Linked DNA regions of Diceros bicornis minor. The protein of the gene in region 1 purifies or fractionates together with the protein of each later gene. This does not show direct contact. Links are inferred from orthologs where the notes say so. Each region holds a gene or a part of one and is shown on either strand. Other genes may lie near its edges. The genes, in order: SNRPE, CLNS1A, EAPP and U2SURP.

Region 1 (7,288 bases):
CTGAATATACAAAAGTCTGAAAAGGAGTAACTAGAGATGAACACTGAAAACCTAAGCATAGTATCATAATGCCAAGGGAACAGTTTTTAAGGAGGGAGTGGCCAACAGTGCCAAATGCTGTTTAGAATTCAATAACATAAGGACTAATATTGACCATTAAACACCATTAGTCTTCGGTGACCTTGGTGAGAACTGAGTGGACAGGCAGGAGAAATGGAGTGGGGTAAGGAATAAGTGGCAGAGCATGATTCCAAGTGTGTACTACTCCCCCAAATAATAACTTCTCAAATACAAACTAAATTTAAACATGAACTGAGTTGCAAGTCATTCAACTGTACCAGTGAATACAAATTTCTACAATTCTATAAGGCATCTATATTCTTACCGAGTTGTTTTCTTGACTTTGTTTTAGAATGAATCTCTTCTGCATCATCTAATACGAGGTTCATATACTCATCAAAACCCTAGAAAAATAAGCCAATTGATGACTGTCATCTTCAAGTAAGATCACATCCAAACCATTCTACAAGAACACACTTATGGAGGTACAGAAATGCCAACCAACTTCAGAAATTCACCGCTACACTGATCTTTCAGCTGAACACCACCTCCCACCCTAAGCCTCTCCTTAAATAACAAAGAAAGCCAGCATGTACTCCAAGTTACTTCTGTAACCTTTTGGACTAAGATCTCATTAGTTATGCCAAAGAGCCATTCTCTCTACCTTTTATAAGCTGCCCAAGGTCGAGTACACGCCTACATATGTGAATTAACATCTACTGCACCGTTCTTCCCATGCTCCCCACAAAACACTAACACCACTAACCACCACGCCTGCTTTCCAACTAGTAAACAGGGAAGGGGAGATTATATTGATGGAATCTACAAGTCTAAACGGAAAACCAAAGTGTCTGAACATAATACTTTCAACCATATTTTACCCTTCTTTAAAACATTATTTAGGGTACTCTGCCATCCTGGGAGTCTTATTTAACTAACCCCACCAAGCTCTATTGAGGTATCACCTAACCCAAAACTAACACTCCATTAATCCTCACCGCCCCCCTCAATTTTATTTCTTTTGTCCTCTCCTTTGAATACTAACACTGTTGTTTAAATAATTTTTAAAATTATTTTAAATTTTTAAAATAAAATTAATTTTAAAAATTAATTTTCCCTCTCTTTTTTGAATTACCCAATTCCTAACAATGAGTAGAACAATGAGACAAGGATAGTGGGCCCTAAAAAACTTTCCTTGGGTTGGGTCTTGGACTTTCTGTACATTGCTCTGGCTGGCCTTTTCTGCAAAATCTTTTTCTGTGAACTAACTGGGTAGTAAATGTCCTGGGTACTCACAATGATACAGCCCTCTATCCGCATATTCACTTGCTCGTAAAGCCACACCTGAATCCGAGATCTCTGAAATAATCATAAAAATAAAAATGTTAAAAAATAAACATAATCCAATCACTTTGGTCAAACAACAGAGAAACAAGGCTCCTAAAGAAACTTCAAAAATTTCAAGTCAAGAGTTTTAACCACTTAACACATACCTAAGAACTGGTAACTAAGACTAGTTACTTGCCAAAAAACATTCTCACTTAATAAATGCTGCATTGGGACTAAGTTAATAATTTCCCTGTGATCTTGGAACTCAATCACATTTCTTACTGCTTCTATTCTCAATACATTTCAATTGAAAGTTGGTGACAGTATCGCACAAAGCAGGAATTTCTAATGACCAAGTGCTTCTTTCTCACCTGCTATAAGAAAATCCAGCTCCAAAACAGCTTTCTCTAGGTTCTTGGTTTTCCATGCCTTACACCTAACAATCAAGGGAGGGACTCTCAATTCTGGTGATTAAAAATTACAATGGCTTGAAATTAATGTTTTCCAATTGTATTGTCACGCTAAAATTTGTAAGAGCAACAGGAACTACATTTTCCCTCAGAAATAATTTAAACACTCTGCCCTGCCAACTCAAAATCTGAGGTGCTAAAAATCCTCCCAAAAGAAAGCAGGCTGCCACTAAACCGCCTGAATCTATCCCTCCTCTCTCTTTTTTTACTGTCTTTTTTATGTTTAAGTTTTCCTCCAGGTACTAAACACACCACCTTATGACGTGGTTTAAAGCTGACTGGAGTTTTCTTCCGACGTCTCACCCTAGGGGAAAGAAGAGGGAAAGGTTCCAATGCCCTGGCCATAACCACTACCAATATCCAAATACCACTGACACGTCTGCCAATAATTACTTTTTGAAATTAGTAATCTCGGTCTTGCAAAGTAACGATGACACGATTCTCTGATGCTTGGAGCTGGCATGGCTACACACCATTTTACTACATTAGAGCTTTCCCTGTACCCTTTCCCCTCAAATGCCCCTCCAATCTCCACAGTTTCCACCTATTTTTAACTCTAGAACACAGTGATCAGACAGAATGACACAGCCAAATAAATTCACTCTTTACTCAAAGAAAACTACGAAACTAACGACTTACGTACGTTTTGCAAGTATCTGAAGATGAGGTTCTGCACCCGCGGTTAAGGAAGAAGTACACGCACAGCACAGGCTCTGGCCCCTGAGCGAGTCAACCCTAGCCCACCGTCCCCTGGTCGTCTTCCGAGCGCGAGCTCTGCCGCCTGCACGACACAGGCGCCGCCCCCGGCCCTCGAAGGCGCGCCCTCTCACTCCGCGGGACGCCGGCCCCCGCCCTCACCAGGACTCCCGCAGCCGTCTCCCCGCGGCTCCCGCTCCCCCGGCACGGTGCTCGACTCCCGCGCCTCCTCCGGCTCGGCCGCCCGCCCGCGGGCTCACGGGAGGTGGCCGCGGCCCGCGCCCTCCGGCCTGCCGTCCGCTCTTCGCCCCGTTTTCCGGCCCGACCCCCCAGCCCTGCCGTCCGCGGAGGATACGATGGGCTGCACCATCACCTTCTGCACCTTCTGGCCCTGGCCGCGGTACGCCATGGTGAAAGCGGACAAAGGCCACACGAACGCGCACGCCGCCTCAGAGCAACTTCCGGAATAAGGAACCGGAAAAGCAAGTGTATGGTCCCCGCGCGGCGACCGGGGAGGCTCCTGGGAAATGCCTCTCTAGCCGGGGGGCTCGCTTTTCTCGGTGCTCTACAGCATCCGGGGGAGGCCCGACTGAGGGGAATGGCGCTTTGGAACGTGGGCCGGTCCTACAGCGCCACCTGGAGGCGGCGGCTCGGTTTGAGTCGGCCGAGAGAGGTAGGCGGCCCAGGCGGCCCTCCGCCTGTGGAATGGGTTGGTTTGTGCTTTCCTAGGCCTGTCCGCCTGGAACCGAAGGTGACGGCCGCGCTGTGGTGCGGAGGGGCGGGCGGCGGGCTCGGGGCGCACCTGGCACTGTCCGGAGGCGGACGCCGTGGCTGCGCCGTCGTGGGCCCCGTGAGGTGGGGGGACGAGGGGCGCGGCCGTGTGCGTGGGGGCCCGGACCCTGACTCCGGGCTCCACCCGCCCCGACCGGGAGGACACGGGCGGGTCCCTCGGCCCGCCGGCCTCAGCCCAGCTGTCCCCAGACGGGCGGACACTCGCCCCGGGCGAGTCGGGGCAGCGGGAGCGCGCGTGCGTGGTCCGCACACCGCGTCCGGGGGCCGGCGGGAGGCGGGGTCCTGGTCAGCTGGAACCCGCGTTTCATGGATGAAGACGCTCGCTCAGAGCTGAGGCCCTGGCTCAGGGCGCCCCTTAGAGGAGGGGCGGACGTTCAGTGAGGAAAGAGGGATGCCGACCTCGTGAAGGGGTTGAGGTCAAAGCGTACGAACGTGATTTTTAACCTATGAAGAGCTAGGAGACAGTGGAGTAATTATTTCTCAAAAAAAGTCCCCCGCCCCAAACCCAGTGGAGAGTGTGGGGCCAGAGTGAACTGGAGATGTGCAGGGTTCAGACAGCTCGGATCGCACACTGCCCTGCCCAGCCCATCGCAGGTGTGAAGACCTTGCTACTCGTTTTTGCGTTTTCCTGTCTGTTTCTGAAGTCGTGATTCCTAAACTTTTGGGGATTGATCCCTATAACCAATCATTTGACTGATAGGTCATATATACAACTCATGAGAAGTGATTTGCTTTTTTTTTTAATGATTTTAAATTTAATCTTTTAAATTTAAATCTTTGATCCATCCAGAATTGATCCCAATGTATCCTAGAACTGATACAACTTTATGATTTCTAGATGGCTACCCAGTTGTCCGTCACCATTACAAAAAAATAACCCATTGTTCCCCATTCAATTTAAAATTCCACGTTTATAATATACCAGTGTATGTGTATGTACATAGTTTATATTTTGTTCAATTGATCTTTGTGTCTGTGGACCAGTATCACTGTTATGAGTACAGTATTGTATCTTTATAATTAGTTTTCTTATTTGGTAGGACTAGAAGTAGGTAGAATTTTCCTAGCTATTCTTATTTTTCTTACAAACTTTAGAATTAGTTTATCTAATTTAAAAAACTTTTGGTATTTTTACTGTGATTACATTAAACTCTAGAACAACTTAGGTTAGTTTTTTTAATCTAAGTACATGATATATTTTTAATCTGACATAAAGACTGAAAATAAAAATTGGCAATGGTTGTGAACAATCAGTTTATAGCAAAGGAAATAAAATAGTCCTCAAACATACAAAAAGATGCCCAACTGCTCTCATTAAAAGAGAAATGCAAACTACACTATGCTGAGAAACCATTTTCCCCCATTAGGTTGGCAAAGATCAAAAAGTGGTGGTAATGTAAATTATTAAACTCCACTTCTAGGTATTTAATCCTACAGATAAACTTACATGTGTGACATAATGTAATCATCGCAGCATTGTTTAAAATACCAAGACAGGAAACAACCTAAATGTCTATCAACAGGGACTGGCTCAATTACTGCATATTCATATAGTGTAATACTATGCAACTATAATCAAGATTAAGAAGCTCTTTGTCTCCTGATATGATATCCAATATATAGTAAGAAAAAACAAGCTGTGATGCATCTGAGATTTACTTCCAAATAATCCAGTGGAGCCAGCAGGGGATGGGGCAAGCCTAAGGAGCAAAATTTGAGGAATCACACTCACATGTGCAAGTACAACCCCGAGTGAGCACCTCCTTAAATTGTGCTCAGGCATCTGGCTTACCTCACCCTGGTCCCAGCCATGGGGCCCAGAGTAGGGGATGGACAGTTGGTGTGGGTTTAGATGAAACAGGATTTGTCGTAAATTTGTAATTCATAATTTAAAACTATTCATAATAAAAAAGGTGCAGAATATCATGTGTTTTATACATGATATTGTATGGAAGTATACTTGCTTATATATGCCTGAAGTATCTCTGGAAGAATCCCTGAGAAACTAACAACATTGGTTTTGGAGAACTCAGTAGCTGGGGCAGGAGTAGGAGGGAGGATTTTTACTAAAGCCTCATGTACATTTTGAATTTTGAAATGTGGATGAATATAGCACCAATTGAATAAATTCATGAAATAGTGGAAAGTACTATGAAATATTTGTTTCCTTTTTTTATTGCAACTAATCATAATGTTCTTGTAAAATTTGAGATTTTCATGACACTCCCAAGGTCTCTGCAAAATAGGCTGGAGAATCACTGGTCCAAAGAGGTACACCCTGCGATAAGAGTCACCTCCAGACCTCCCAAATATTGAAGAACATCCTTCCTTTCAGCTTGAAGTTCCTTCCGTCTCATCCAGAAGCCTCACAACTTGCTGAATGGCTGTGATTGATTAGAAGCACACCAAAGAATGGGGCTGGGAAGACAGGGGCAGTGTAGCAAAGATCAGCAGCCCCTGAAATGGGTCAAGAACTTTTTCATTCACTCAGCAAATGTTTATTGAATACCTTGTGTTATGGGCTGAATTGTACCCCCCCAAACTCATATGTTGAAGCTCTAACCCCCCAGTACCTTAGAATGTGACTGTATTTGGAGATACGCCCTTAAAGAGGTAATTAAGGTTAAATGAGGTCATATGGGTGGACCCTAATCCAAGGTGATTGGTATCCTTATAGAAGATTAAAACACAGATACATGCATGCAGAGGAAAGACCATTTGAGGATATTGAGAAGGCAGCCATCTGCAAGCCAGAGAGGCCTCAAAAGAAACCAAACTTGCCAACACCTGGATCTTGGACTTCTAGCCACCAGAACTGTAGGAAACTAAGTTTCTGTTGTTTAAGCCACCCAATCTGTGGTATTTTGTTATGGCAGCCCTAGCAGACTCATACACCTTCCATGTGCCAGGCCTGTACTAGGTGCTGACTATATAACTTAGTAAGAGTCTCTGTCTCAAGGAGTTGATACTCTGCTGAGGAAGATGGACAGATAAACAATTTTCAAACAATGAGAGTAAACAGAAATTACATGCCTAGCTGACAGGCACCAAACCTGTTTGAGGAGAGGGATTGCAGGGTGTAGGGAGAGGTAGCTTGGAAGTCACAGAATGTGTAGGAGTTAGCCAAAAGAAAAGAGGAAAAGAAAGAGATTTTTAGGTAGAAGACAGCATTAACAAAGGCAAAGGGCTAGAGATTAGCGTATGAGGGAAGTCAACAGCCAGTAGTTTTGCTGGAGTGAAGAGCATGAAGCGTCAGTGGCCAGACAGGAGGCTGGTAGGCAGGGCTTACATGCTATGCTAAGGGTCTTGAATTTAATTTTGGAGGGAAGGGAACGGCACTGGAGAGTCTTACGAAGCAAAGTGATTCAGATTTGCATTTAGAATAGATCCTTCTTTCTTTTTTAAAAGATCAGTTATACCTCAGCCACGAATAGTTGAGAGCAAGAATGAGACAAGGCAGAGACCCGGAGGGAGTACCAATGGGATGGTCAGAGGTCATTAAAAACAAACTTTATCTGTTCAATTTGGCCTTGTTTGCAGCTCAGATTATCTCCTTTGCTAAGCTACACAAAACTCCAGCTCTGACACCTCAAGGAATCCTTCCCTAACCAGTCTCAAACTCACTGATTGCTCACTCATTCCTTCTATAGCACCATCCACTTAATACTTGCACCTACTTCATTTTTGTTAGTTTTCTCTTAAAAATGTTTTCTAAGTATTTCAAGGGCAGGGTTTGCCTTAAACCCATCTCTCTCGTAGCCAGTAGTGTTTAATGATGGTTAGAATTCATGATGTTCTAATCTGAGCCTCTTCAAGGGATGAGAGTCCAAAATATTTTGTGGCTGCTATGCCAATGGCTTCTCCTCACAGCTTTTTCTTGACCACCATCCTTGAGCTCCCAACCCAAATCAGTGACCTCAATAACCATACACACCATCCAT
Region 2 (7,623 bases), on another chromosome or scaffold:
AACAAATGCATCCTTAGGCTATTTTGTTGTGTGAACATCACAGAGGATACTTACACAGACCTAAATGGTATAGCCTACTACATGCCTAGGCTCTATGGTACCACCATTGTACATCCAGTCCATCATTGACCAAAGCGTCGTTATGTGGTGCATGACTGTACATATATACACAACATCCAAATTCTCACCCTTGCCTCTGAGCATCCCCTCAGCCCCACCTCATTCACCTGGCTAACTGTTAATCCTCATTTGTCACATCCTCTAGGAAGCCTTCCCAGTTTGTTGAGACCTTTATTCTACCAAGTCTTGGAAATGCTAGGTGGGAAAAAACAAAAAGGGGAAAGAGACCAAGGAGGTAATAACGAGTACAGAGGGATCACAGAGGTGTCCAAGGTACTGGTAATATTCTATTCTTAACCCGGATGGTGGATATACAGGTGTTAGTTTAATTACAATTCTTTAAACTTTACATATATAATTGATGTTCTTTTCTATATGTATTTTTTACAAAAATATTCCTTTTTCTTTTTTGCTGAGGAAGATAAGCCCTAAGCTAACATCTGTGCCAATCTTCCTCCACTTTATATGTGGGTTGCCACCTTAGCATGGCTGATGAGTGGTATAGGTCTGTGCCTGGAATCCAAACCCAAAAACCCAGGCCACCAAAGCGGAGCGCACCAAACTTAGCCACTACACCACGGGGCTGGCCCCTCAAAAATATTTTCTCAAGGAAGAAATGTAAGATATTTGTTAGTGAAAAGTTGAAATAAAAATTTTTTTAAAACAAGAATTTAAAAGAGTTTGTACTTCCTCAGTGTGCTAACTGTATTGTGGTTATACAGGAGAATGTCTTTGTTCTTAGGAGATTTTTGCTAAACTATTTACAAGTGAAGTCTGCAACTCTCAAATAGCTCAGGAAAAAAAAGAGATAAATGTGGCAAAATGTTAACAGCTGATGAATCTTTGTGACGGGTCTATGGGTATTAATTAACAACACTTGCAACTTTTCTTTAGGTTTGAAATTTTTCAAAATTAAAAAACAAGTATAGGATTTTACCCAAAAAGGAGTTGTATTATAGAAAGAAGAGCCAATATAGAGAAAAACCATGGAGGAAAAAGGGATTGCAGGATTGTGTAGTGGCTAGTAATATATTTGTGCTTCAATCTCCACCACTTAAAAGAAACTGCTCTCCCAAGATCATTCAAGATCTCATTGTCAATACCCAACATAAGCTTTTCAGATTTTACCTTATTTGACGGTTCCTCCTTCTTCATTTCTCTACTCAAGTCTCTTCTTCCCTAACCTACCTTTTAATGTGGATATGTCTCCAACTTTCTATCCTTAGCCGTCTTCTCTCCTGGGGAATATAATCTATTCCCATGAGTATGCTAACACTTATACTAATGATTTCCAAATCTCTATCTTTAATACCATTCTCCCAAGATACACACTCATATGTCCGACTAATCTACACATGTCCAGACCAAACTCATTATCTGCTCCTCACCTCAAACTTGTTTTTCCTCGCATCCACGTTTCCTATCTCAGTGACTGACCAAAAGCCTAAGCTTTGCTCAATGTCTAGATTTCTCTCTAAATCAAGGATTCCTGGGTAGGCCCCGTGGCTTAGTGGTTAAGTGCACGAGCTCCGCTGCTGGTGGCCCGGGTTCGGATCCCAGGCACGCACCGACACACTGCTTCTCTGGCCACACTGAGGCCGCGTCCCACATACAGCAACTAGAAGGATGTGCAGCTATGACATACAACTATCTACTGGGGCTTTGGGGGGAAAATAAATAAATAAAATCTTAAAAATGAAAAAATAAATCAAGGATTCTTTACATTTTTTTGTGCCCTCTGTGGTAGGCAGAATTTTGGCCCCCATGACCTTCATTCCCTGGTGTTAAGCCTATGAATGTTACATTACATGGCAAAAGGGGCTTTGTGGATTTAATTAAGGTCACTAATCAACTGCCAGTAAAATAGGGAGATTATCTTGGATTATCTGTGTGCGTTCAATGTAATCACATGAGCTCTTAAAAAAAAAATTTTCTCTGGCTGTTGACAAAAGTGATGCAGCAGAAGGGGAAGTCAGATCTGAAGGACAGGAAGGATTCATTGTGTCACTGTTGGCTTGATGATGAATGGAACCATATGTCAAGGAAACAGAGATCTTAGCTCTACAACTGCAACATTTAGGCCATGTCCATCTGACTGTGAAAGTACAAAGTGCTGCAGGTAGACAATAAAAGGGCAATTCCTTCTGCTGAATGGAAATGGGAGTCAGAAATGGGAAATGAGAGTCAGGTTGCTCTGGATATGACCCCAGCCTGCGTGGGGTTGAGGGTGTTCCTCTCCCCACCCACACCTACAGAAGAAAATCTATACTCCTTAACCAAACTTTCAAAATCCTCCACAACCTGCTCTAAGCCTACGTATCCCGCCCAGGGTAACACTTCCCGCACCTGTTCATCGGAGAAGACAGGCACATCGATAACTCCAACTCACGGTCTGGAAGTTCAGAACCTTAAAACAAAAGCTTGAGTAAAGAACAACGCACGCACCAGACCTCCGGTAAACAGGCGGGTAAAAACCATAATCAATGAGAACTCCGTCTGAAGAAGAGAGAAAGGCAGGCTCCGAAGGAGAGGACACTAGAACAATCGAGTTTTCCTCCCAGCAGAGGCATCCCCGAGGCGACACCGAGCACGCGCGCCCCCTCCCAGCAGCCGCGAGGTCGCGGTCTCGCCCCCGCTCCTCCGCACCGCCCGCGCCGGCAGGAGGAAAGCGGCGCGCAGAAGGCCGGCGCTCGGGGACAGGGACCCTACCTCTCAGCGATGTACAGGGTGCCGGTGCCGAGGCCCTTCCCGTTCAGCACAGCCTCGGTATCCGGCTGCTGCTGCCGGAGCCCCTCAGACGACCCGGGCGGGAGGAAACTCTTGAGGAAGCTCATTGCAGCACTGTGCGCCGACACACACGCCAGGAGGTAGCCGAAGCTCAGGAAACCCAGCTCGCTGCGTTCCGCCCCGGAAGTGGTGGCAACTACCCCGGAAGCAACTTGGTCTGCTCCGGAATTTGAGCGCCAGCCACCATAGAGACGAGACCTTCTAGGGCAAGCTTTCGGAGGCCTGAGATGGCCTGGCCCAGTTTGTCACGTGACTCCCCTCCCCTTTGCCATTTCTAAGGCTGCAGGCTTGTAATAATGGAAGGTTCTTCCCGACGTCCTACTTCAGGGTTGTCACAGCAACCCTGTGAGAGAGGAAGCACAAGGAATAATAAACTCCTTTTTCTACAAAAGAGGAAACAGATATCTGAGACATGGAGTCCCTTGCCTGAGGATGCACAGGAAGTAGAGACCACACTCATCTAGAGGTCAGAGGTCTCTTGACTGGGTTGACGGCTCTTCTCACCTGGGCCAGCCTCATCCCGGCCTATTCACGTCTCAGCATAACAGCCATGCCCCAGACATCAGTCTAGGTCCTGACACCGCCCTCGTGCCCGAGCCACGTATCCCCACGTCTCTTGTGGGCAAACGAGCCCAAAGAGGTCAGCTCCGGGTGAAGAGCTGCCTGCGTCAGTAAGAATTAGTCCACCAGATTTGGAACTATTGCTTTATTTCTTCGTTAGGCACTGAAGAGCAAAGTAATAAGAGCAATAAAAACCTAAAAAATAATCATAATAGTAGATAAAGGTAACCGAGTGTTATGTGCCAGGCATTGTTCTAGGCACTTCACCGGCATTATTTCTGCATTTCCTCTTTATGACAACTATATGAGAAAGTTATTATTATTGATGCAGTTTTACAGATGAGAGGTCTGAGGCATTCAACTCAAGACCAAGAGTTTAGCCATGAGAATTCTAGTGGAATTCAAGTTAGTCAGTCTCTCTAGGTGCCACTTGTCTTGTCTGTAAAATCAGTATAATCATATGTGTGCTGTAGGACTGTTGAGGCTGGAAGACTGGACATGTGGAATAGTTTTACTTCTATCTTTTGAATAGTTAGAGGAGTGTTCGATTTTTAAACTGAGATTAGTTTGTTAATAGTGAGACTGGAGCAGGGGCCCTCTGAGTAGAAAGAGTATTAGGAAGTTGTTGCCATAGTATAGATGAGAGAGTGGCAGTAAGGGTGGAAATGGGGACAGATTCTAGACCTATTTCAAAGGCAAACTCCTCTGAATCTGGAGATAGATTGAGGGCAAGATGGTAGTGAAGGTGAAGATCAGTATGAATGAAGAAGAAAGGGAAGTAAAGGATTTCCAGCTTGAGTGATTGAATGGATGCCGGCTCATTTCTCCAACGTGGAGAATTCAGGAGGAATATGATACTTCTGAGCCTATGTAAAGTAGTATTTGTCCAGGGGAGACCTCTTCAGTAAGTCAAGTAGGAAGGGAAAAAGACGGGGGCAGATGCAGAATATTAGTGTGGGAAGATGAGGAAGTTCCTATCAGATGGCCTTTTTATCAGCCAAGTATTGATGCTAATAATGACTGGTATGAATTAAACAGGCATCTGTAAATAAAGGTGCCTTTTGTTCAAGTGTCTAGCTGAACACTGCCCTCAACTCTCAGTCCCGTGTCAGTCCTGGTCTTGGTTATGGGCTTATGACTTGGCTCCTATGGCCCACTGTACTTCCTTCATGCATGACATATGTTACCTTCTAACGTATTCCTGTTCATCTCCCCAAATAGACTGGGAACTCCTCTGGAGCCCTGCATCTCCAATACTTAGCTTATCTGTTACACATGAGGCATTCCAAAATATTTGATAAAAGTGTTCAATAAGTTGAAAAAAGTGTTGAATAAGTTATATAAGTGAAAAAAAATGAATCGAATAATTGTGGATATAATTTATTAAAAGTAAAGGCCTAGGACATTAACAAAAATGGCAGAATAAGGACATCTGAAAATTTACTCCTCCACACAAACTTTGGCAAAAATGGTCAAAATAAGATTTTTACAGAATTATTGAAATTAACCAAATGTAACCAAGGAGCATTTATTCAAGAAAAACAACTGAATCTCAGTAAGACCAGCAAGTTTCATGGCAATTTGACTTACCCTAGTTCCATTCCTCACTCTGCAGATCCACAGGAGACTTGAAAAATCATAATGTTTAAAGAAACTTCTGTCCAATCATTAGTTGACCACTACTAAACCAAGTAGAAACTTTAGTGGCCACACTTCACAAAAACTGCAGACTTTACAACATTAGTTTAGAAGGGTCACAAAACCAACAAGAACAACCACACAGGTGCAACAACAAACAAAATCAGAGGGAGAGAATCTGATTTTCAGAGTTGCTACATTATATTTTTTAAAATGTCCAGTTTTAAACAAAAACTTATGAAGCATGCAAAGAAATTTAAAAAAGTATGACCCATTCACAGAAAAAAAAAGAAAGAAAAGAAAACTGTCACTGAGAAAGCCCAAACATTGAAATTACTGGAGAAAGACTTTAAAACAACTTTCTTAAGCAGGATCAAAGAACTAAAGGAAAACATGGGCAAAGACCTAAAGGAAATCAGGAAAACAATATATGACCAAATGAGAATATTAATAAAGAGACAGAAATTACAAAAAGGAACCAAATGGAAATTCTGGAACTGAAAGGTAGAGTAACTGAAATGAAAAATTCACTAGAGCAGTTCAACAGCAGATTTGAGCAGCAGAAATAAGAATCAGCAAACTTGGAGATTATCTAGTATGAGGAGCAGAAAGCAAAAGGAATGAATAAAAATGACAGAGCCTAAGAAACCCATGGGACACCATCATATGCATAATGGGAATCCTAGAAGGAGAGGAGAGAGAAAAGGGCAGAAAGAATATTTGAAGAAATAGTGGCTGAAAACCTCCCAAATTTGATGAAATACATGAATCTACACTAGCAATTAAGCTCAACAAACTCTTAAGTAGGATAGATAAACTCAAAGAGATCTACATCTAGACTCATGATAGTTAAACTGTCAAAAGCTAAAGGTAAAGAGAACCCTGAAAGTAGCAAGAAGGAAGTGACTCATTACTTATAAGGGATCTTTAATAAGATTAACAGCTGATCAGAAACCATGGAGGCCAGAAGGATGACATATTCACATTCAGTGCTGAAAGAAAAAGAAAATCAAGCAAGAATTCTATATCCTGCAAAATTATCATTCAAAAATGAAAAAGAAATTAAGACATTCCTAGAAAAACTAAAATGGAGAATTCTTTCCTAGTTGACCTGCTCTACACAAAATACTAAAGGTATTTTTTCAGGCTGAAAGAAAAGGACACTAGACAGTAACTTGAATCCACATGAAGAAATAGAGAGAACCAGTGAAAGTAACTATCAAGGTAAATATAAATGGAAGCATAAATACATTTTATTGTCTGTAACCTTTTTTTTCCTTCTATTTGATTTAAAAGACAACTATATAAAGCAATAAGTATAAATCCCTGGTGATGGACACACAATGTATAAAGTTGTAATTTGTACAATGACAGCATAAAGGGGGAGGACAGTGCAATATAGGAAAAAAGTCTTTCTATGCTATTGTAATCATGTATTATTAATTCACACTGCTTTGTTATAAATTAAGATGTTAAATATAATCCTGAGACCAACCACTAAGAAAATAAATAAAAAATATATAATAAAAGAAATGACAAGTGAGTTAAAATGTTACAGTAGAAAAGATACATTTAACACAAAATAAGGCAGTAATATAGGAATAGAGGAACAAAAAGACATGTAGAAAATAGCAAAATAGCAGATGTAAATACTACCTCAGCAGTAATTACATTAAAGACTAATAGATTAAGCTTTACAGTTAAAGGGCAGAGGTTGGCAGAATGAATAAATAACATGACCAAATATATTCTGTCTACAAGAGACATACTTTAGATTCAAAGATATAAATAGGTTAAAAGTAAAAGGATGGAAAAGATAGACCATACAAACAGTAACCAAAAGTGAGCTGGAGTTGGTATACTAATATCCGACAAATAGACTTTCAGACAAAAATTGTTACTAGAGACAAAGAATGACATTATATAATGATAAAAGGGTCAATCCTTTATAAACATATATGCACCTAATAATAGAGCCCCAAAATACATAAAGCAGAAACTGACAGAATGAAGAGAGAAATATGCAATTCAACATTAATAGTTGGAGACTTAAGCTCCACTTTCATTAATTGATAGGACAACTAAGCAGAAGATCAACAAGGAAATAGAAAGTTTGAACAACACTTTAATACTGTAAACCCACTAGACCTGACAGAAATCTATAGAACACTTCACCCAACAAGAGCAGTATACACATTCTTCTTAAGTACATGTGTTAGACCGTGAAACAAGTCTCAATACATTTAGAAGAATTGAAATCATACAAAGTACATTCTCTGACCACAATGGAATGGAATTAGAAATCAATAACAGAAGGAAATTTGTGAAATCTACAAATATATGGACATTAAACAACCTATTCCTAAATAATCAATGGAATCAAAGCAAGAATCAAAAGAGAAATTAGAAAATACTTTGAGAATAATGGAAACAAAAAATACCAAAACTTATGGAATGCAGCTAAAGCATTGCTTAGAGGGAAATATATAGCTGTAGATGACGACATTAAAAACAAAG
Region 3 (6,929 bases), on another chromosome or scaffold:
CCAAGGTTGAGATTTATCCAGTTTATTGATTTAGCCAATATGCTAGTGTTCCAAAGTGTGGAATGTAGATTATTTTAAGGAGTGGCAGGCAGACAGCCCACTAAGTAACAATGAAGCCATTGCTAGTGGGAATATAAAATGGTACAGCCACTATGGAAAACAGCTTGGCAGTTTCTTATAAAACGAAACAGGCAACTACCACACAACACAGCAATCACACACCTGGGCATTTATCCCAGAGAAATGAAAACTTAAATTCACACAAAAACCTATACATGAATGTTTATAGCAGCTTTATTCACAATAGTCAAAATTGGAAACAACCAGATGTCCTTCAATGAATGAATGGTTAAACAAATACAGAATACTGTTCAGCAATAAAAAAGGAATGAACTATTGATACCTTCAACAATGTGGATGAATCTCCAGAGAATTATGCCGAGTGAAAAAAGCCAATCCCACAAGGTTATATACTGTATGATTCTATTTATATAATATTCTTGAAAATGACAAAATTGTAGAAATGGAGAATAGATTAGTGGTTACCAGAGGTTAAGGAGGGCACAGGGGCGGACAATGGTAATATGAGGAACCCTTATGGTGATGGAGATGTTCTGTGTCTTGACTGTATCAATGTCAGTATCCCAGCTGTGATATGTACTGTACTTCTGCAGTATGTTAACACTGGGGGAAACTGGGTAAAGGGAACAGAGAATCTCTGCATTATTTCTTACAACTGCATGTGAACCCACCTCAAAATAAAAAGTTTAACTAAAAAAAAATTGAATCACATGGCAAGAGAGTTATACTTTTCTCAAATTTTCTTCAATCCTTGTGATTATTTCAACAGAAATCTCAGCACTTAGCACCGCTGGGCGAAGCAATACATCACGGGCCCTGCACATTCCTGTTGAGTATGCCAAGAATGCAAGGTTCTGATCACTCTTCACCCAGGCCTGCGTTTGCAGTGAACAACCTTGAGGGATGAGGCAATGTCTCTTTCCAAGACAGAGAGCAGGCTTATTTACTGCCTGCTGTAAAAGAGGTGGATTCTCCAAGCTCAAGTGGTCCTGAGCCTCGATGCCAACCCACTGAATGTGTAGCATCCATCTGGGCCTCTCCGGGTAACCCCTGTAAGACTTGGGAACTAACAGCGAGCAACACAAACATGATGCTCATGCTGCTTGCTGTGCTGTGAGTTGTCTCTGACCCACGAGTCTCATGTCTTCTGCCAGCTTCCATGAAACAGTAACAGGCTATAAAATATTAGCTTATAAGTAGGGTAAAATCAAATGCTGACCGACATCTCTTAAACATCTCTCTAACACCAATCTCCCTTTTCAAAACAACAAGCATTTGATTTAGAGCCTTGAGCAGGCAACATTAATAACAGTTTTGTTTTCGTAGTCTTTTTTTAACAGCTTTTCTTTTCTTTTTTCTTCTTTTGAGAAAGAGTGGCCCTGAGCTAACATCTGTTGCCCATCTTCCTCTTTTCTTCTTTTTTTCCCTCCCCAAAGCCCCCAGTACATAACTGTATATTCTAGTTATAGGTCCTTCTAGTTCTTCTATGTGGGACGCTGCCTCAGCAAGGCTTGATGAGCAGTGAGTAGGTCCACTCCCAGGATCCAAGCCAGGAAACCCTAGGACGCCGAAGCAGAATGCGTGAACTTAACCGCTGCACCCCCCAGCCAGCCCTCACAGCATTTATTTTTATAGTTACCTTACCAGTGACAACCGTCACAGGATTATAAAGCTTCCTCAAAGAAACTTAACTACAAAAATGTAAACTGATTTAAAGAAAAATATTAAATAAATAATAACCCGGGTGACTATGGAGATGGTAAGTGGGGGAATAACTCAAGTCCAGGAAACACGGCTATATTCCAAGAGGCCTACATATACCTCCTTTACAGACGGGACTCATTAACTGAAACGCTTTTTCACAGGGTATCCTGGAACCCATCCTCACTTCCCACCACAGAAATCTCCACAGCAGTTTGCTCTCTCATGCCTACAACCCTCCCCAGGATAGTATGAGGAAACATTGTGGCTAAAGGAAGGACAGTTTCACAGAAAGCTTAGTCGGATAGAATATTTTAAAGTTTATGAATAGAATCTGCTGACAACTTAAAAAATGGCTTAATTTGCCTGCAAATTTCTTGCCAACATAATCCCAAGTTTCCCCCAGGTAGGATTAATCCCTCCCTTCTGGAAATTCCCATGGAACTTCATCTGTGCCTATCTCAGGTCATAGTTTTCTACAACACTCTTCTGAGATACATGCTTATTTCCGAAACATATACCTTATTTCCCCTACTGTACTGGAAACCTGTAAAAGACAAATATCTTAGGACTGACCTCTGTAGCCCAGAGCAAGCATTTAACAGGTGCTCAGAAAACGTCTGTTAAATAGTCCCTTATTTCTGTTTACGGCAGTTTAGTCTTCAAGATGGTCACTTCACATTAAGTCCCGTAACCTCACAACATACTTCCGATATAGTTATTATATTTCCTCTTTACAGATGAGAAATCGAGGATAACTGACTTGCCTTCAGTCACACTGCTAGTAAGCTGCAGAGGCAGGATTCGATCTCACGGCTTTTGAAGACAAACGCAGAATTCCAGAATATCCCTCTTCCCCAAGCGGGTGTCAGCCCCGCCTCCCCCGTGGCTGCGCGACCTCACCAGAAGCCCCCTCGGCGTCCCACAGGGGACAGCGGGGCGCGACAACCGCCGGGCCGAGGGTCCACACGAGCGCGGCAGGCGCAGGGAGGGGAGGAGACTAAGGCCTGGCCTCGGCCCGAAGCCTCGGGGCAAGAACGGGGCAGGGGCCCACCTGCTCAAAGCCGGCTCCTCGTCGCTAGGCTCTTCAATTGCGTAGGGGTCATAGTCATCTTGGAGCCGGTTCATGATGGCCTGCGCCCTCCGACACGGTCTACAGGCGTCGGCAAAGCATCTGTTTACGCCGCAGGTCCCTTCCCTAAAGCGTTCCGGACTCCACCTCCGACCGCACTTCACTTCCGACCGCACTTCACTTCCGACCGCACTTCACTTCCGCCCGCACTTCCGCGCCCTCCCTGCGCGCCTGCGCAGATCGTCCCAACGAGGGGGCGGGGAGAGGGGGCGGGTCCCCGTGTCTCGACACTGCCCTCCGAGGCTTCTGCTCACCTGGAAACGGCTACCCTATTACCGGAAATAGTAATTGGCACCTTCGTAAATGGCAGTCTCTGAGATGAACGCTCCAAGTGCATTGTCTCCCGCCGTGACGTGAAGAAGCAGAAATCTAGATGCTGAGAGACATGCAGCCTGAAGTCCGGGCCAGTGGGTCCCCAGACACTAGCACCCGATGTCCCTCCAACCTCCTCGCCTCAAGCTTTTCTTTTTTTGTCACTGCGCGGCTGCCTCGGGCTCACCCTGTTCTCCTCAGTCTGACTTCAGCCCCAACTGTCTACCGGAAAGTTGCTAGGTTGCCACCAGTTACTTCCTAATTGCATTTTCTTGGCCTCTCCTCAGTCCCAACCTTTGCTCAGCCTTTATCCGATTCCACTCGATACTCGAGGTGAAGCCGATGACAGCTTCCCGATTGTGAGACCGTTTCCTCCCCTGTTTCTGTATTGGCCTACACTCAAGTTCCTGCCTCCTTCCGGACAATTCTTCCCTCTGCATGATCCCAATCAGGTGACTGCCCCGTCTTATGTGGTCCTTGCCTTCTCCTCCGGTACCAGGTTGGATTTCCAATCGCCTGGCTAGGTAACTCCGCCTGCTGCACCACCGGCAATTCAAAGTCAACGTAGCCCAGACCACACTCACCATCTTCCACCCCGTTCCTATATCTCAGCCAATAACTACTTTTGACTTCTGATTTCTGCGTATGTCACTTCCTCCATCCTTACAACTGCCATAGGCTGAAAGTCTTGGAATCTTGGTTGACTCCTTCTCTGTCCCTCCATGAGCCCTCAATTCCCAAGTCCTGTAGATCTCTTAGCAATACCTCTCTCACCCACCTCCCATCTCCCCACCCCTCACTTTGACTATTGATACAGGCTCCTAACTGACAGCCTTACTTTGCTTTTGTTCCCTCTGCAATCCATGCTACTCTCTACTGGCAGAGTAACGCTCTTCCAGCACAGCTTTTGCTCTGGATGACTTCCTTCCTAAAATGTCCCAATATTTCACCTTCGCTGGCTGATCTGTTCGCCTTATTCTGCAATATTCTTGGCCCTCCACAATATAGTTCAATGCATCATGCCATCCCTACAGATATCCAGCACAATTTGCTGATTCGAGAATATGCGTTATGCCTTCCACCACTAGGCTTTTGCTTATGCTATTCCCTGAAGCACTCTCTGCTACTTTTTTTTTTTTTTTTGGTGAGGAAGATTAGCCCCGAGCTAACATCTGTTGCCAATCCTCCTCTTTTTGCTGAGGAAGATTGGCCCTGGGCTAACAACCGTGCCCATCTTCCTCTACTTTATATGTGGGACGCCTACCACAGCATGGCTTGATAAGTGGTGCATAGGTCTGCACCCGGGATCCGAATCTGTGGACCCTGGGCCGCCAAAGCGGAGTGTGCAAACCCAACCACTATGCCACCTGGCCAGCCCCCCCACCCTCTCCTACTTCTAATTCCACCATCCAAACCCTACCTCAAGATCCTTCTGCAAGCAATGGATGGGTCAATAAATATATAGAATGACCCTTTAGGATACCTTTCAGCCATGAGATGCCATAGTTCTGGGAACTCACACTGTACCTTTTCTATGATGCCTTTTCAGATTCTCTCTCTACATGGGATCTTTCTCTGCTTTGAACTCTTGTAGGATAAGGTACCACTCACACGTGCCATGTGTTTCTCTGGTTTTCAACTATTGTTCCACCCAACTCTTTTGAGAGGTACAGTACTCTTCCATGAGTCACAGTGATGTGAAGGGGACACCTGTTGGGGAATCCATTTTTCCTTTTCTGGGAATTGTGGCCCTCCTCAGGGATATGCCCTTATATCCATAATCATTCTGCTCCATGAAAGTTGGGCCATTACTTACCTACTTACTCCCATAAACTTAAAAGTAAGAGTTACAGATTCTAAAGAGTTGGCTGTGGTCCTAGGACTTGTAACAGGACAAGTAAACTCAGGAGCTGAGGCTGCCATTTTAGGATGGCTGTTTAGGGGTTATATGTGTTGATGATGAGCAAGCAAAGAAAAGCACAAGTGTGTAACAGAGAGAAGCAGAGAGCTTTCCCTGACCCCCTTATCAAAAACTTTAAGCCCGCAACCCCAACCCCTTCTCTCCATCCCATCTTCTCTATCCTTTAATCCACATTTTTCCCCTTCTGATTCATGTTACTTGTTTGCTTATTTCTTTCTTCCTGTTCCATTTCTCTATTGCTGCACAAAAACACCACCCCAAAATTTAAGAGCTTTGAAACAAAAACAATCATCTAATTTCATCACAAATCTGCAGTTTTGGCAGGGATTACTCTGGGGTCTCAGTTTAGGACTGAAACTGCTGGGGACTCACTGAGCATCTCTCTTTTCATGCATCCTTCTCCACAAAGCCTTGGGCTTCCGTACAATATGGCAGCCCCAGAGTAGTCAGCCTTCTTAGATAGCAGCTCAAGTCTGGCGGAGAGGGTTCCCAGAGACCCAGATGGAAGCTACAAGGCTTCTTCTGACCTAGCCTCAGAATTCTCTGAACATCACTTCTGCCACATTCTATTGGTCAAGCTAGTCACTAAGTCCAGATTCCAGGGGAGGAGACAGACTCCACCCCTCAATGGGCAGAGTAGCAGAGATAGAAAAGTTGTGTTTACTGTCTAAAAAATTGTGTTGGCCTCACTATCTAAAAACAAAAGGAGACATGAACAGATTAAATGGAATATTTCAGATATCATGAACTTACTGTAAAACATAACAGTATATTTACAAATTTTTTAAGTGTTTTAAAATACTTTTCTAGGGGCTGGCCCCGTAGCTTGGCGGTTAAGTGCTCCCGCTCTGCTACTGGCAGCCTGGGTTCGGATCCCGGGCGCTCACTGACGCACCGCTTCTCCGGCCATGCTGTGGCCGCAACTAGAAGGATGCAACTATGACATACAACTATCTACTGGGGCTTTGGGGAAAAAGAGGAGGAGGATTGGCAATAGATGTTAGCTCAGAGCAGGTCTTCCTCAGCAAAAAGAGGAAGATTAGCATGGATGTTAGCTCAGGGCTGATCTTCCTCAAAAAAAATAAATAAAATAAAATACTTTTCTATTTACTAGTATTATATACTTAACTCCACCACTGCACAATTTGCACAGTGGATGAAATTTGTACTTTGCCCTGGTTTTCTTTCTTCAAGCTTAGAACCTTGACTTTTTTTTCCTTTAGATTTCCCTAGGTTTAGTTGTTGTGTATGTTGAGGCAGTTCATGTGATGTAGTTTATGACAGGCTTACTGAGGATGGCGCCATGGGAAAACGATCCCTGTGGAGTTGCTTGGGGAAATATCAGTACTTAGATGTTTAATGGGGGGGGGCTGCCCTCATAATAATCGTGTCCAGGGAGAATGAGTTCGGTCGGCCGGGCAAGGACAAAATGCGCTGAAACTTCCTTTTTGCTGAAAGGAAGGCGAGACCAGACCCGAGCCCTGACCCGCCCCCAGGGGGCCCTCAGCTGCCGGGCGCCGGCGCCGCGAGATCCGGTCTTCCCGGGCGTCCCCTCCAGGTCCCGGACTCGTCGGGTCTCCGGTGGGGATTCGTAGGTCCCGTATCCCCGAGCGGGAGACGGGACGCAGCGGACGTCACGACAGGGGCGTGGCGTATGCAGATGACCGTGCGCGCAGAGGCTGCTGGTCCCGCTTGGCCGGGCCGCGGCGTCCTGCGTGTGGAGATCCGAACGCCGCCAGGGTCGTGGTCCGGGTGGGCGTGGTGGGAGCACCGGGCCTGGAG
Region 4 (7,877 bases), on another chromosome or scaffold:
TTTAGCTCATTCCTAAAGCATTTACTGAATTTCTACATTTGCCAGGCCTTAAAATGAAAAGTACAGCAAAATTACACAGAAAATAAAAGGGCCCGGCCTCTCTTCATCGGGGACAGCTACTCATAAAAGTAAGTCATCTGGCTATAAATACATTAAATGTAATTTTTAAAGCTAGAGGAAACGGTAGAGGTTATCTAATCTATTTTATAATTAAGACACGTCAAATAATATTGCCATTGTCAATGGCAAAAATCTTGTATATTGCACATTTTAAAATTAACACTTTCCTCGGTGTCTAGAAATATGATTAACAAGCATCCCTACCTATATCAATGAGGATTTAATTACCAAAGAAGAAGAATGAACACGAAACAGAAGAATCTGTTCACTCCATCTGTACAGTAGAATATGTCATTCATCTGCTCTCCTCAGAGGAAGGGAAATCAAATCACAGAGATCAAAGGCTAGAAATTCCAAATACTGTAGTATTAGTCAAAATCATCTTAAGACTCTATTCAATAATTTCTGGACCTGTGTTAGAAATAAACAACAATCTGGGCAGTCATTATGATAGTTGATGACTTCGATTCTAAATCTCAAGATTAGAATTTATCCTGATATTTTGAAAAGTACTTTTTATTTCCTCTATAAACAAAAAGGAGAAGGGAAAGAAACTAAGACACTAACTCATTTAATCCTTATAACAATCCTGTAAAAAAGGGATTATATCCATATTATAAATGAGGTAACTGAGGCTCAAGAGTTTAAGCAATTTGCCTTAATATCACAAATATAATTAATTGCCAAGTCAGAACTTGAATCCAAATCTCGTTTGTTATCAAAATCCATAATCTTTCTACTGCATCATGTATCCTCCATATTAATGGAGAAAGTCACGTCAATACCATTTGAGTCCTGAGATATTCTCTTTTTACAGATATCAGTAGGAAATCTCTTTTTTGTGTGTGTGTGAGGAAGATCAGGCATGAGCTAGCATCTGCCATCCTCCTCTTTTTTTTTTGCTGAGGAAGACTGGCCCTGGGCTAACATCCGTGCCCATCTTCCTCCACTTTATATGGGACGCCGCCACAGTATGGCTTGCCAAGCGGTGCGTCGGTGCGCGCCCGGGATCTGAACCAGCGAACCCCGGGCCGCCGCAGCGGAGCACACGCACTTAACCGCTTGCGCCACCGGCCGGCCCAGGAAATCTCTTAATAGCATCAACTGATGATAATCTAAAGCAATATAAACTGAAAAGATTACTGCAAGACCCAACAATTCACTTATAGAGAACAGCCACACACAACCATGAGAAGTACTAAAGAAGGAAGACAACACATATATTAAAAGGTTTTCAATGTATCCAAGGCCTCAAATAGGAGATACTTAAAATATTACTTTGAGAAGAAACAAAAGTTGTGAAGCTTGTGCGTCAATTATTATGGATGTAGTTAGCTTTTGTAATAGTTCCCTAATAGTAAGCAGGGCTGTTTTTGTCATGAGTCTGTTGAGGGGAAGTGGGCAGAGAGAGGTACCCAACTATTCCCCTCCTCCTCAAGGGGAAATGTACTGGGGAGGGAAGAAACTAACAAAGAGCAGACACAGGATGTAAAGCAGCCAAAACTGGCCTTGAACCATAGTTTCTACATAACTAAAGGATGTCTGATAAAGCCATTACTAACTACGAACTAATTATGAATATCATTCACCAAACGGCGTACAAATTATGATTTATTAGAAACTGAAAAAGCAAATATAAAATGAGTTATGTTTCTCAGAACAAACTATAAACGCAAGACTCGCCCCTTCTACGGTAAACTTAACTTCCTAAGAACCGACTTATAATCATACACACTCTTTAAGATGTAACAGTCCCTGTTTAGGTGTCACAAAACTTCCTGCATCTGCATGAAAAAGCTTAACACCTACTTCGGACAGTATCTATTACTTTTAATCTCGTGTTCGAGATGAGAAACAGGGCAAAAAAGGATTAAATGACCCGCCCAAGATAGCAACTAAGACCTGATAGTAACCACAACTAACTAACACTAAACTACTTCTACAGCTCAATGGTTTCACAATACGTGCACACAGTTCCCTGTAAACGCAAAAGCAATTTGCTAATTTTAGGTGGCTTCCAAGTCCACGGAAGTTCTCCTTTCAGTGGAACACGCAACATAGAGACGCAGGAGTCCTCGAAAATGAGCCCTCAAAACAAGAGCCCGCTTTACGCTTGCTCTCAAGCGAGGTGAGACCACGTGGAGAGCACAGTATTAACCTTGGCGATGCAGCACCGCAAAGGAGCGCTGCTCCCGCCTCTGCACTTCCCACCCCGCGTCCCTCCGCCACTGGTCCCTGCCTCTCAACTCGCGGCCCCAGAGGTTATTTATTCCCTGGAGGGCGTGAGGGAAATCGAGAGAGGCCGGAAGCTTGTGAGATCCAAAACCAAAGAACCGAGGACAGACAGACAGACCCATGAGCACCAGGGAGCGATTCCCGCCTCTCCCCGGCGCTGTCCGGCGGCCCCAGGGCGCAATAAGCCGAGACACACGGGCGCGTTTTCACGGCTCCGGGCCTCGATCTAAATCCCCGATTTCACTCCAGTGCCGAGCGCGGGCCGAACTCCTCACGCCACCACCCCACCCCCCGGGCCCGCCGGTCTCGAGCCGAATCCAGGCCGGGACGAAGGGGAGACACCAGGCCTCTCAACCTGCGCACCACCGTGCGGCGGCGCCCCGGCCGACCGCCGCGACCGGAACGCGGACGCCCACCCCAACCTCCTCCCGCTGGCCAGAAGCGTCAGTAGACCCCACACGACAGTGACAGACTCACTGACTTACGAAGTCCTCTAAGAAATTACCTTTGAACTGGCCTTCTGAGATCCGCCTGGCGTTTTGTCCGCCATCTTGCGCTTTGCCCCTCCTTCGGCGGCGACAGCAGCACGGGCGAGTCGAGCGCCGAAAGAGCGGATCTCAGCGGAGCCCGCCGGAGGCGCCTGCAAGGCTGAATAGTCGACTGCGGAGATGAGGGATTCGAGCGGCGCTGCGCCACGTGACTTCCGGGGTCAGTCCTTCCCAGGCCACGCCCACTCCCTTGGTTTCCGTGGGTGTCTCGGTTGTTGGTTCGGTTCCTGGACCCGGGAAGTTAGAGAATGTCGTCGTCCTGACTTTGGGGGGCCGCTGATACTTCACTCTTTTCCCAGCGCCAACTCTTGATGGGGGTGAGCCAGTTTTCTTTCCTGGGCGAGGAGGGAACGGGTCGTTAAAGAAGAAATGCACTGGTCAGCTGGGGGGAAGCTTTTCAACTCCGAAGATAAGTCTGGAGCCAACTGGAGGGTCCGGCTCTCCAGGGACAAAGACGGTGTTTGCGCCGCCTCGGGAGCTCACGCCCTGGTGAAAAGGGCAAACTTGCCATCTGCTCCAGTCACTGTAAGATAGAGTTGTGCCCGGCAAGCGGAGAGGAGTATTTGACTCAGCCTGAGATTCCGGCAGTGGGGAGATCCGATAGACTCTTGTTTGGGGCATCTACAAAATGGGTACCTGCAGAGAGAGGGTGAATGAGAAAATCATAAATAGGTGGCTTTCTAAATCTAGCAAACGCGTAAGTTATGTATCGTTTAAGAATTACGTTTTACAGTTTAGTATTGTTTTCATTTTTAAACACGTAAATGGAGGGGAGCACCGCACACTTTTCTGTACTTAGAACTTTTTTAAAGTTCTTAATAGGATCTGTCTTCAAAGAAGGAAAGCTTACTTGAGAAGGTCATGCCTGAACCGAGCCAGGCAAGGATAATGGAAAGGCATTCCAGGCAGAGGGAGTAGTTGGAATAAAAGCTTGATGGCATGGGTCCGTACAGCCCACTCTGCAGGCACCATAAGCAGTCAGGTTTTATTAGACCAGGTGTAGGGAGGGACGTGGCTGGAGAGGTGGATGGGAGCAAGATCACACGAGCCCTGAGGTTACCAGTGTGCTTATGAGTTAGAACTCAGAGAATGAAGAGTGGCCTTCAACAGGGTTAAGTAGGGCTTTGATGTGGTCAGATTTGAAGTTTTAAAAGGTTGCTCTGGGGACTTGGGGAAGGAAGAAAGAAGAAGGGTTCATAACCTTCTCTCTCTAATTCATTTATTCAAAATATTTTTGAGCCCCATTTTGTGTATAAAAGCCTGCCCAAAGTGTTGAGAGACTTACAGACAAATAAAAACACATTTGATTTAAAATCAATGTGTTTTTAAATCAAATTATTTAATGCAGAATGGGGGAGACAAACAAGGGAAATAACACTATGCAGAATTAAATTGATCCTGCAAGGAAGGATCGATAGCTGTGGGAACTCTGAAGAAGTAATTAATTCTGAGGGTAGGGTTGGGTAATGAGATGGGGGAGGTTTCACAGAGAAGGAAGCATTTGAGCCAACTCTAAAGAAGTAAAATTTTGTCTGTTGGCTGGTGGGAGGGCAGGGAAGGGGAGGTTGGGATGGTGGTGAGGGAAGCACTTAAGCAGGATCTGACACGTGGCAGGCCCTCAGGGAAGATTAATAGTCATATGTGGCAGGCACTGAAGAATCAGCAGGTAGGGGGTCTGTTCTGTGTGAGAGGATGGGGTAGAAGAACACACGATAAGTAAGCAAACAAACAAGAAATGATCAGAAAGTGACAAGTGCTATGCGTTGAAATTAAAATGGAATGATGCTTTGCAACCTCCAGTCCAATTGAATTTGTTTCCAGTCTCAGATCTTGTCACACTTTTTCAATTCTGGGCCTTTTCTCCCACCCTTGTCCTGGCCTCTGAAGGCTAATCAATTTTCTACTCTTGTTGAAGATGTCACTTCCTCCAAGAGGACTTTCAGACCTCCCTACTCCACCAAGCCTAAGTTAGAGACTCTGCTTCTGTTTCCATAGGAACCTATACTTTCCCACTCCGGATGCTCATCACACTGGATCTTAGTTGTCTGTTTACAATCTAGGATTAGAAAGTGAAACCATCAGCTGAGATGAAGGAAGGAGGAGGATTGGCTGTGCCTTGTCCGTGCTAGCAATGCTGCAGGCTGACTGTCACTGTAAAGTGAATATATGCATGCTTTTCATTCAAATCCCTAAAGTCCTACTTCTCATAAAAATACTTTTTACTAAATGTTTACCCCTAAAGAGCTAAAAATAAAGGAACACAGACTTCTTCCCTCTCTTCTTTTTCATACGCTAAAACCCCAAAGGAAGTCAGACAAACGTGACCTGACTACCAGTCATACATAGGGCTTTATTAAGACCTAATTAAATACACTTTTAGAAACTCACAATCAAGGTTATGAGCAGAGTTCTCCTTAATACGTATAAGTCATGAAATCTTGGCCCTATTACTCAAACCAAAAATTAAGGAGGATGAGATAGCATGAATATAGTACAAATGGAATTTTACAGAATCTGAGATTTTTAATTAGATTCACAATAACTATTCCCAAGGGACTACACATAAATAGCAAGAAAATCATACAATTTACCACAGTTAGTTTAACTTTTTTACAATCACACTAAAACCATGCCATTTTTCTCTCCCTGATGTGTTGCTTCTCTAGTCCGCCACATGTCACCAGTTTTTGAGGGTCCTCCCTGCAGCTGTGTTCAGCAGAGATTACCAAGTAGTGCCAGATGCAGACCACAGAGGTATTTTGTTTGACTCAAGCAGGGAAATTTTTTTCTTTGATTTGGCTAGTATTTTAAAATTGAGAGATTTTACTTTTTTATACTCAGGATTTCCAGTTTTTCTTGAAAAATGGGGAAGTCTGGCAACAGTCCAGTGGAGGTGAGTCACAGTGACCTCTCTGGAAGGGCCTTCACCACACACACAGTGGACAAATGCCCCACACCCCGCCTGCTGGGAAGCATTTGAGTTTTCTACATCTCTTGTAGAATTTAAGTCTTACCAGGGGTGATGATCAACACATTGAACAATCAGTCCCCCAGGCACCAAAGAGAACTGCCTTATCCATTAGGAACCGAAGGCTCATTGCCTAGGGCCCACCGTAATTTTAGAGGCCTCCCAAATGTTTTAATTTCTTTTAAAATAAGAGGAAAAAAAGGTGGAGTGAAGAGGCTGAAACAAAAGCAGCATTTAACAATATACACAATGAGAGAGAGAGACCTTAAAAATGATTGCCCAAAGCTAAAATCTCCTGTACTGTGCCAATGGACTGCTCCTACTTGGTGGCACTCTCATTCTAGAGAGTTTTTAAGCAGCTTCTCCCTGCTCTCTAGGCTTCAGGATAGAGGTTGGTGAAAGCACAGTCTCATCCATTTGTTGGTTTGGCAGTTATTGAATTTCTAGCATGTGCCAAGCTCTGAAGAAAGAAGATAAGGAGGGAGGGAGGGAAAGCTAAAAATCAGACTGAGCTCTTCCGCTAAGAGGGATCCTAGCGGCTTCTAGAAATAGGGAACAGCCTTCAAGGAGGGTGTGGTGTGTGTGGAATGGAAGATTCTTTCTAATGAAGTCGATTGCCCGCCCCACACCACCGCACCACGCTAGCCTGACAAGTCATTTTAGTGGCAATAGCAGCTTCTCCCTTTTCTTCCCTCCTCACCAAAACAAAAATACCCGACTTATCTACTGATGATATCTAGAATTCCTTTGACAATAATAATTAGCGGTGGCATTGTTTAAAACTACAAATGCCCAGGAGGTAAAAGATATGTAAAAATGGTGTCAAAAAGCACATAGCCCAAGAATGGGCTGGTGACATGTTGAAAATAATAAAAATTGCTATTTTAGCTATGATCCTGGTTAGAAGATTACCCTTACTATGTAGCAATTATTATATCAACAAGATATTAAAACCTAGGATGGTCCAGATGGAGTATTGTGGAAATGGGTGGTCCTAAATGAGTGTGTGTGTGTGTGTGTGTGTGTGTGTGTGTGTGTATGTGCGTGTGAGACAAAGAAAGACTGAAGATGCCCATGGCAATTGGCAGAGGGCAACATCTCCAAGGGAGTCCCCACATGCCATGGCGTGGCAGTCCAAAGTTGGGCGTGGCTTGGACTACCCAGAGATCAGGCCTCACTTAATCTATGACCTGCCTTCTGCCAGTGGGGAGCCTATGTATCCCCATGAAGATTAAAACTCTTGAGACAAGACCAGATAATATAAAAGGCTAGGTGGAGAATGAAGTTATGACAAGAAAATGAAACAAAACTATTTCTCTTATCAATTTCATTTGGTTGCCAGTAACAGAAGTCCAACTGCAGTGGTCTTAAACACAGAAGGCTTTATTTTGACACGGCTGTCATGGTAATGATAATGTGAAATTTCTGTCAAAAAACATGGCATAGCTTTCTTCTTTTTCAAGTTTTGTTCTCTTTCCTTCACATCGACTTTGCATATTTCTTGTTACCTTAATTCTTAGTTGTTTTCTCTTTTCTGTTGTTACTACAAATAGAATAAGTTTTTCCATTATTTATATCTGTCCTAAGTAATTAGTGTTTTATATTTATTACTATACATTAATGTTATACCCAGCCACCTTGCTGAATTCTTTTATTTGTGTAGTTTTTCAGTTTTTTCTCTTGGAATTTCAGGTATACGATCATATCATTTGCAAATAACTACACGTTTACCTCCTCTTCTCCCATATTTTTTAATATATCTTTTGTTTTTCTCTTGTGTGATAGCATTAGCCAGTACCTCCAAAATAACATTAAGTAAGAGTGGTGCTAATGGATATCCTTGTCTTATTCCTGACTTTAGTGAGAATGCTTTTAGTGTTCTTATGAGGATGTGGCTGACTTTTGGGTTGTAAGTTGAATTACATATTCATTTTTTAGCTAACCATGGAACTGAAAATATAGAATTTTAAATTCTCATAGAAAACTCGGGGACCCTAGTGATATGC

What was found.
Region 2: the proteins of SNRPE (region 1) and CLNS1A purify together in Homo sapiens (affinity purification with mass spectrometry; 5 studies listed by BioGRID and IntAct, counting the BioPlex papers as one, with this or other methods). This does not show direct contact. The link is inferred for Diceros bicornis minor from reciprocal best matches to the Homo sapiens genes SNRPE and CLNS1A.
Region 3: the proteins of SNRPE (region 1) and EAPP purify together in Homo sapiens (affinity purification with mass spectrometry; 3 studies listed by BioGRID and IntAct, counting the BioPlex papers as one, with this or other methods). This does not show direct contact. The link is inferred for Diceros bicornis minor from reciprocal best matches to the Homo sapiens genes SNRPE and EAPP.
Region 4: the proteins of SNRPE (region 1) and U2SURP purify together in Homo sapiens (co-immunoprecipitation; 3 studies listed by BioGRID and IntAct, counting the BioPlex papers as one, with this or other methods). This does not show direct contact. The link is inferred for Diceros bicornis minor from reciprocal best matches to the Homo sapiens genes SNRPE and U2SURP.

What each region holds. Positions count from the first base shown.
Region 1 is NC_080743.1:101,799,420-101,806,707, forward strand, and holds the start of SNRPE (small nuclear ribonucleoprotein E), read right to left. Parts: upstream 3,015-7,288; 5' UTR 2,965-3,014; coding exon 2,911-2,964; intron 2,530-2,910; coding exon 2,503-2,529; intron 1,420-2,502; coding exon 1,357-1,419; intron 465-1,356; coding exon 386-464; intron 1-385. UniProt on the Homo sapiens protein: Plays a role in pre-mRNA splicing as a core component of the spliceosomal U1, U2, U4 and U5 small nuclear ribonucleoproteins (snRNPs), the building blocks of the spliceosome.
Region 2 is NC_080746.1:53,769,087-53,776,709, reverse strand, and holds the start of CLNS1A (methylosome subunit pICln), read right to left. Parts: upstream 3,007-7,623; 5' UTR 2,955-3,006; coding exon 2,830-2,954; intron 2,528-2,829; exon of another isoform or gene 2,493-2,527; coding exon of another isoform or gene 2,467-2,492; intron 1-2,466. UniProt on the Homo sapiens protein: Involved in both the assembly of spliceosomal snRNPs and the methylation of Sm proteins.
Region 3 is NC_080744.1:14,754,497-14,761,425, reverse strand, and holds the start of EAPP (E2F-associated phosphoprotein), read right to left. Parts: upstream 3,002-6,929; 5' UTR 2,911-3,001; coding exon 2,837-2,910; intron 1-2,836. UniProt on the Homo sapiens protein: May play an important role in the fine-tuning of both major E2F1 activities, the regulation of the cell-cycle and the induction of apoptosis. Promotes S-phase entry, and inhibits p14(ARP) expression.
Region 4 is NC_080741.1:10,942,029-10,949,905, forward strand, and holds the start of U2SURP (U2 snRNP-associated SURP motif-containing protein), read right to left. Parts: upstream 3,015-7,877; 5' UTR 2,906-3,014; coding exon 2,861-2,905; intron 1-2,860.